Macaca mulatta: one gene and its partner. The protein of the gene in region 1 interacts with the protein of each later gene in a pairwise test. Links are inferred from orthologs where the notes say so. Each region holds a gene or a part of one and is shown on either strand. Other genes may lie near its edges.

Region 1 (4,295 bases):
GGAATCGGCTTGGCGAATCCATTGCACATGATGTTCATTGCTGCTCTGTAAGGCCGTTAAAGTAGAAATAACCTCTCACGGCCGGGCGCGGTGGCTCACGCCTGTAATCCCAGCGCTTTGGGAGGCCGAGGCGGGCGGATCACAAGGTCAGGAGATCGAGACCACGGTGAAACCCCGTCTCTACTAAAAATACAAAAAATTAGCCGGGCGCGGTTGTGGGCGCCTGTAGTCCCAGCTACTCGGGAGGCTGAGGCAGGAGAATGGCGTGAACCCGGGAGGCGGAGCTTGCAGTGAGCCGAGATCGCGCCACTGCACTCCAGCCTGGGCGACAGAGCGAGACTCCGTCTCAAAAAAAAAAAAAAAAAGAAATAACCTCTTACTAAGGAATGTAAAAACAAATATGGTTCAGTCATTCAATGAGCAGTGAAAATTATCTAGCAATTGACCAAATGGACAAATCTCGAGAGTATAATTTTGAGAGGAGAAAGGTGCACAGTGAGAGGTACAGCTATGATTCCGTTCCATGATATGTCTAAACATGCAAAAGAAAATATGGGTACGCATATAAGGACATACATGGACATAATAATATACAACATTCTCAGCACAGTGATTGCCACTGGGGAGGGAGACAGAATGAGATGGAGGAGGTACACAGGGGCTTCTGCCTATCTGTATTGTTCTATTTAAAAAGAATGAATCATTGATTACACCTCAATAAAGCGGAGAGGAAAAAAAGAATGAAACCAAGTATGATAAAATTTCAAGCTAGTGGTGGGTCCACAGGAGAAATATTTTTATTATTTTACTTAAAAAGTAACAGAAGGGAGTCAGGGAGTGAACGCTCGCTGTCCGGAGTCCATCACAAGAGCAGCTCCTCCAGGCAGACACTTGTCAATTTTGCTAGGGCCTCCTGAAGGCACTTTTTTGAGTACGGACAGTCATGGTGCCAGACCCTATTCGGACATCCCACTGGCACTTGATAGGAAAGAAAAGGAGTGCCGGGAACGTTCCCATAACTTAACGGGTTCCTTTCACGTCTACAGCAGGGTAGGGCTCCAGTTAAGGAAGCCCAGGAATCCAGCATAGCGCCTCATCCTAGGGCCCCTCTCACAGGAGGCCACGCCCAACAAAGCAGAGCGCGGCCCCAGCAAGCGCCGAGCTCCCGCAAGGAGACCAAATAGCTTCGGGGTTTTGCCACTTGCTTAGCACAGGCCCATAAGCACCGGGGGCTCAAGGCACCTTTGTAGAAAGAATGCGCGACTGAAGTTCCAAGTCTTGCCACTACAAAGGCGTGTGTGAACTACGGCTTAACACTGCGTCTACGCCTAAGTTCACGTTAGTTGGAAGCCAGCCCCACCGCAAGCCCGAAAACACCCGCCCGTACGAGCACGCCGCGTTGTGCGCAGGCTCCACCTGCCACGCACGCACGCCTGCCTTGCCCCGCCCCTTCCGGAGGCTCGCCACACGCATGCGCCCGCCGGCGCGCGCTTTGTTACGAAAGCGAGGGGGCGAGGTTCTGCGGTGCTAGCGCGCGGAGCGACCAGAAGCTGCGGGCGGGGCGGAGGATGGAGGCTGTAGCGTCCGCTGCAACGGTTGGGGCTGCGCGTGAGAAGGTGGCGGTGTAGGCATCTGCGCTCGGGGAAGGCTGGCGGCGGCGGCCGGGCCATGGCGGGAGACCCCCTTCTCTGGGCTCCCTGAAGTCTCGGGGAGCCGTGACCCATGGGATCGTTGAGCAGCCGGGTGCTGCGCCAGCCTAGACGAGCCCTTGCCCAGCAGGCGCAGGGTGCCAGGGCGGGGGGCTCGGCCCGGAGGCCGGACACTGGAGACGATGCGGCGGGCCACGGCTTCTGTTACTGTCCGGGCAGCCACAAGCGCAAGCGGAGCAGCGGGGCCTTCTGCTACTGTCACCCTGACTCGGAGACGGATGAGGATGAGGAGGAGGGGGACGAGCAGCAGCGGCTCCTCAACACCCCTCGAAGGTACGTGGGGGCACGCACTCGCGCGGACCCGGACCCGCACCTGTTGGGCCTGGGGCCGAGCCGGCGCCCGGTGCGCTTGCGGGGTGCAGCGCTCCCCAGCCTATGAAGAGGGGTCGTGCCCTTGACAAGTGAATGTGGAAGCCGGCCCGATGCCGGGCGGACGGGGGAGCGCCTTGGGAGACGCCTGGTGTTCTGCATTTTTAACCACAGACGCTTCCAGGGTGTTGTTACAGCCCCAAGATGAGGATGAGAAACGCCAAGCCCGAGCTCGCGTCTCGTTAAACCTTAGAGACGCCCGGCTGGCTGGCCTTACCAGTCCACCTTTGCCCTCTCAAGTGGGTAGCCGCAGACTAAGTTGTTTTGCATCCGGTTGCTTTAGTACAGACACTAAATGTAATCTCTGAAATGGGCACTCTTACTGTCGCCCACTCAGTGGAGGGGAAATAATTGCACACAGGAGTTCTCGTTAATCGTAAAGGTGAAGTTTATCAATAGTGTACATTTGTTCCTAACCAGGAACAGAGTTTGTGCAAGTTTCTAGCAGTTGATGTCGTTGACCGTGGATGTACTGTATGTAGGGCGGTGCTGCTGCAGCTTGCTTAACTGTTTTTTTTTTTTTTTTTTTTTGATGAGTTGAAAGATGGAATATTGACTTGTGACCTGGAATTGGAATGTAGTTTATGGGTAGAATATATTCTTACACAAACAATTTGGTTTTTCTGCTTTTGTTTTTAAAGGTGATTTGGTAGGGTCACAGATGAAATTTTTTTAATGATTTCTTTTTCTTTTTTTCTTTTTTTTTTTTTTTTTTTGAGACGGAGTCTTGCTCTGTCGCCCAGGCTGGGGTGCAGTGGCCGGATCTCAGCTCACTGCAAGCTCCACCTCCCGGGTTTACGCCATTCTCCTGCCTCAGCCTCCCGAGTAGCTGGGACTACAGGCACCCGCCACCTCGCCTGGCTAGTTTTTTGTATTTTTTAGTAGAGACGGGGTTTCACCGTGTTAGCCAGGATGGTCTCGATCTCCTGACCTCGGGATCCGCCCATCTCGGCCTCCTAAAGTGCTGGGATTACAGGCTTGAGCCACCGTGCCCGGCCTCTTTTTCTTTTTTTATTTTTCAGACAGAGCCTTGCTCTGTCACCCAGGCCGGAGTGCAGTGGTGCGATCTCAACTCACTGCAACCTCCACTTCCTGGTTCAAGCGATTCTTGTGCCTCAGCCTCCCGAGTAGCTGGGACTACAGACACGCACCACCATGCCTGGCTAATGTTTTCTATTTTTAGTAGAGACAGGTTTCATCATGTTGGCCAAGCTTGTCTCAAACTCCCAACCTCAGGTGATCTGCTGGCCTCATCCTCCCAAAGTGCTGGAATTATAGGCGTGAGCCACTGCGCACCCAGCGTAAAATTAAACTTTATGAGCAGATTCAAAAAGGTTTTGCTATACAAGTGTTGCATATTGTAAAAAAGGAATCATAGATTAAAAACTCAATAGTTTGGTTTATAAAACCTTTTGTACCTTTTTTAATGAATATTTTTATTTATTTACAAAAATGGACCCCTACTGTGAATACTATTCAGTAACTTTTTTTGTTGTTTATTTGATTTTTGGAGTTTTTTTCTAAAGAGACAGGGGTCTCACTATATTGCCCAGGGTGGTCTCAAACACCTGGGCTGAAGCGACCCTCCCACCTCAGCCTCCCAAAGTGCTCAGATTACAGGTGTGAGCCACCATGCCTGACCCTGTAACCTTTTTGAAGAGTCAGTGTAGCATAGTTTTTTTTTTTTGGAAAATTTTTTTTCTTTTTTGAGACAGGGTCTCGCTCTGTCGCCCAGGCTGGAATGCAGTGGTGGGATCATGGCTCACTCCACCTCGACCTCACAGACTCAGGCAATTCTCCCACCTCAGCCTTCTGTGTAGCTGAGACCACAGGCATGCACCACCACACCCAGCTAATTTTTTTATTTGTAGAAACAAGGTCTCACTCTGTTGCCCACCCAGGCTGGCCTTGAACTCCTGGGTTCAAGTGATCCTCTTGCCTTGACCTCCCAAAGTGTTGGGATTACAGGTGTGAGCCACCGTTGCCAACCTGTGGCATAGTTTTAAGAGTTCAAATTCTGAGTTCTTGGCCAGGCGCAGTGGCTCATGCCTATAATCCCAGCACTTTGGGAGACTGAGGCAGACAGATCACCTGAGGTCAGGAGTTCAAAACCAGCCTGGCCAACATGGCGAAACTCTGTCTCTACTAAAAATATAAAAATTAACCAGGCGTGGTGGCGGGCGCCTGTAATCCCAGCTACTTGGTACGCTGAGGCAG
Region 2 (4,113 bases), on another chromosome or scaffold:
AAAAAAAAAAACTTTTATCCATTTTGATAGTTTAAGGACTTTTTAAAACATGAAGCATTTAAAACAAACATATAAAACACATAGACAAAACAGTCTTTTCAGGTGATGGTAAATTCAAAACGTTTACTTAGGGCAGGTCCACACAAGACCACCTGCTCATTTCAAGAGGTCACTTCTGGTGACTCCCGTGATTGTGCTGATCTGTACTGGATGAGTCAGAGCCCAGCTTCCATCAGTGAGTAAATGTCACATGTCCCCCCGACAACCCCTGCTTTTTTTCCTTAACAATTTCCCAGGTAAACCTGAAATGCCTAAAGAGCTGTGTTATTTCATCACCCCCATAAAGCATTTCTAACCATTAGTCAGTAACTCTCACCCCTCCCCCTTTCCAAAGGCAACACCCCATCTCACCTGCACTCTCCATTGCAAAATCAGAGTATACTACTTGCCTCTAATTCAAATTCAGTCAGCAAAATTTCACTCCATTTAGATCAACAGTGCTGGTCACGGTGGCTCAAGCCTGTAATCCCAATACTTTACAAGGCCGAGGCAGGTGAATCACTTGAGCTCAGGAGTTCCAGAGACCAGCCTGGGCAACATGAAGAAACCCTGTCTCGCCGGGCGCGGTGGCTCAAGCCTGTAATCCCAGCACTTTGGGAGGCCGAGACGGGCGGATCACGAGGTCGGAAGATCGAGACCATCCTGGCTAACACAGTGAAACCCCGTCTCTACTAAAAATACAAAAAAAAAAAAACTTAGCCGGGCTAGGTGGCGGGCGCCTGTAGTCCCAGCTACTCGGGAGGCTGAGGCAGGAGAATGGCGTAAACCCGGGAGGCGGAGCTTGCAGTGAACTGAGATCCGGCCACTGCACTCCAGCCTGGGTGACAGAGCAAGACTCCGTCTCAAAAAAAAAAAAAAAAGAAACCCTGTCTCTACGAAAAATACACAAATTAGCCCAGCGTGGTGGACCGCACGTGTAGTCCCAGCTACTCAGGAGGCTGTGGTGGGAGGATCGCCTGAACCCAGGAGGTAGAGGCTGCAGTGAGCCGAGATCACGCCACTGCACTCAGCCTGGGCAACAGAGCAACAGCCTGTTTTGAAAACAAAACAAAACAAAATCTGGATCAATAAGCATTTTTGGCCAGATGTGGTAGCTCACACCTGTAATCCCAACCCTTTAGTAGGCTGAGGAGGATAGATCGCTTGAGTCCAGAAGGTCGAGACAAGGCTGGGCAACGCGGAGAGACCTCGTCTCTACAAAAAAAATATAAAAATTAGCCGGGCGTGGTGGTGAGCACCTGTGGTCCCAGCTACTCGAGAGGCTAAGATGCGAGGATGAGGTGGGTGGATCACTTGAGCCTGCGAGGCTGAGGCTGCAGGGAGCCGTGATCACTCCCCTACACTGCAGCCTAGGTGACTGAGCCAGACCCTGTCTCAAAAACAAAACAAAACAAAGTATATTTTGCCTGTGAATTCCATGAACCACTCTGCTTCCTACCTAAGGGCCAACATCTACTGAGTGTTTCCTGCATACTAGGCATTGTATTAATTGTATTTTACATACGTCATCTCATTTAACCCTCACAACAACCCTGAGGTACTAATAGGTGCTGATCTATTTCATCGTTGGGAAACTGAGGCTTGGGTATGAAATGTGCCCAGGGGTTACACGGCTAGTGAGTGGCTGCGGTGGGACTGGATCCCAGGCAATCCGACAGAAGAGCTCCCGTAGCAACCGCTATTAATACAACTAAGAGAACAACTCAGTCCTTGGAGTAGTCTACAATGTGAGGTGGTATTACCACGGGGAGTCCACGCGCAGACCTTTCCCCGCAAACACGCACGCCAGTAAGCATTTACTCGTAAGCATGCTTGCAGTTCAGAGCTTCTAGTCCACCCAGAAAACTTTTTCTATGCATTCCTATGGATCTCCTTTTGTCTTCCCGGGATGGAAGACTTGACACCGGTGCCAAATCTGAACAGACTCTCACTACACCAGTTCATGGAACAGGAAACCTCTGTCTCCGGCAACAGGTTCGGTCTGAAGACTGAGGCTACCTGCTGACCAACAAACTTTAAAGGCTGACTTCAAAAGGCAGCCAGGCCTAGCTAATGCAGCGGGGCCTTCCCCAGCCGCTCTTCCTGCGACAGGGGCGTTCCTGAAGGGAGGCTGAAGAGGAATGGGCCGACGACGGGTCTGCAGCTCCCTCCCGGCGGGCACAGGAAAGGTGGAGCCCGCAGCCATGGGTCCCCGCTCCGTGGCGCGGTGGGCCGGGGTCTCGGCACCGCCCCGTCCCCCGCCCCGCCGCTGCGGCAAGGCTGAGTCACCGCCTCCGTCCCGCTGCGGGGCCGCCCAGGCCAGAGGACGGGAAGGTCGCGTCCCCCGGGCTTGGACAGCCGTCGGGGTCGGAGCGAGGGCCGGGGCCGGGGCTGCGAGAAAAGCCTCGAGCCCTGCTCGCTGTTCCGGGGCGGGGAGCCCGCGGTTCGGGCCAGTCAGCGCCGGAGGCTCGGGGGAATCCCCGGTTGGGCCGGGCCCGGTCCCCCGAGGCCGAAGCGAGCCGGGCGCCAAGGAGCCGGGCTGGGCCACCCGCCGCCCCACACCGGCCCGGTCTCGCGGCCACTCCCGGCCCGGTCTCGCGGCCTCTCCCGCCGGCTCCTCACTCCTGCCACTCGCCGCCTCGCTTACTTGGCTTTGAGGCGCAGCAGCTCCTCAAACTGCCCGGCTGAGCCGACCTCCTCCAGCGCCGCTACAGCTGCTTCAGCCGCCCCCGCCGCCATGCTGCCGCCGCCAGACAGAAGCAATCGCGTGCCGGCGGCCGGATGTAGGCGGGGCCGCGGAGAGCTTAGCGGCTGCGCGAGGGAAAGCCCCGCCCCTGCCTGCGCTGAAGCTACAGAGCCTGAGAAATCCCAGAAAGGGCCTCGGCCGCGGGCGCTGAATCCCGCTGGGTGGCTCTGGATCCCGCTGGGTGGCTCTGGATCCCGCTGAGGGGCTCTGACCCTGCCAGGTCTGGGCACTCCGCTGCGGACCTCCTGGCTTCCGGAGTTCATGGCTGTCATGGTTCCTGGCTGTCAGGGCTGTCGGGGCTCCCTGGCTGTAGTGGCTCCTGGCTGTAGGTGCTCCTGGCCCTATAAGGGCTTCTGGCTATAGTGGCTTCTGGCCGTCCAGGCCCCTGGCTGTAGGGGTTCCTGGCTGTAATGGCTCCTGGCTGTCGGGACCCCTGGATGTCGGGGTTCCTGGCTGTAGGGGCTCCTGGCTGTAGGCGCTCCTGGCTATAGTGGCTTCTGGCTGTCGGGACCCCTGGATGTCGGGGTTCCTGGCTGTAGGGGCTCCTGGGTGTTAGAGTTCCTGGCTTTCTGGCTATAGTAGGGGCTCCTGGGTGTCAGGGTTCCTTGCTGTCAGTACTCCTGGTGGTAGAGGCTTCTGGCTGTTGGGGTTCCTGGGTGTGGGGGCTCCTGGCTGTCAGGGTTCCTGGCTGTCAGGGCACTTGACTCCTTAGGCTCCTGGCTTTTGGGGCTCCAGACCTTCCTTGCACTTCCTGTGTCTCCTGGGTCTGCAATAGTGAGAAGGGGCCGGTGGAGGAGTGGGGGTGAGACGTGAGTGAAAGTGAAATCAGATGTGTACATTTAGGAAGCTGAAATTATCAAAAATGAAATTGCATAAAGGTGAGGAAGAACTGGGAGGTTTGGGAACAGAAGTGGTAGATCTTGAACTTCACAGACCCGGTGCTTCCAACTCAGTCCTGAATTCAGACCTGAACCTGGAGCCCACAGCATGTCCCTCCTCCCCTGGCCTCCGCGCCTGCCACCACTCATTGCAGCCCCACCAAGCCATCACCCATTGTAACCTCAGAACAATGGATTCTGCTGGGTGGGTCCACTGGGTTGGGGGCATGGGTCCAAGATCCCTGCATTCCTCCTCCCTGGCCTCCTCAAGTGGTCCCTGGCTTGTCTTTCTCCCTTGGGAATCCCCCTGATTTGGGCTCTCCATGTGGCGTACTCTGTATCGCCATGCTTCCCACACACTTTCTGGCCTGAGTAATCTCCACTCCCCCAGTGACATCAACCTCCAGGGAAACCTCAACAGCCAGCCCAGAACCCTCCCCTGCACCCCAG

Evidence for each region.
Region 2: the proteins of GMCL1 (region 1) and GLRX3 interact in a two-hybrid assay, tested with the Homo sapiens proteins (2 studies listed by BioGRID and IntAct). The two-hybrid records come from large-scale screens. The link is inferred for Macaca mulatta from reciprocal best matches to the Homo sapiens genes GMCL1 and GLRX3.

Annotation. Positions count from the first base shown.
Region 1 is NC_133418.1:54,922,779-54,927,073, reverse strand, and holds the start of GMCL1 (germ cell-less protein-like 1), read left to right. Parts: upstream 1-1,494; 5' UTR 1,495-1,722; coding exon 1,723-1,982; intron 1,983-4,295. UniProt on the Homo sapiens protein: Possible function in spermatogenesis. Enhances the degradation of MDM2 and increases the amount of p53 probably by modulating the nucleocytoplasmic transport.
Region 2 is NC_133414.1:142,176,977-142,181,089, reverse strand, and holds the start of GLRX3 (glutaredoxin-3), read right to left. Parts: upstream 2,801-4,113; 5' UTR 2,779-2,800; coding exon 2,687-2,778; intron 1-2,686. UniProt on the Homo sapiens protein: Together with BOLA2, acts as a cytosolic iron-sulfur (Fe-S) cluster assembly factor that facilitates [2Fe-2S] cluster insertion into a subset of cytosolic proteins.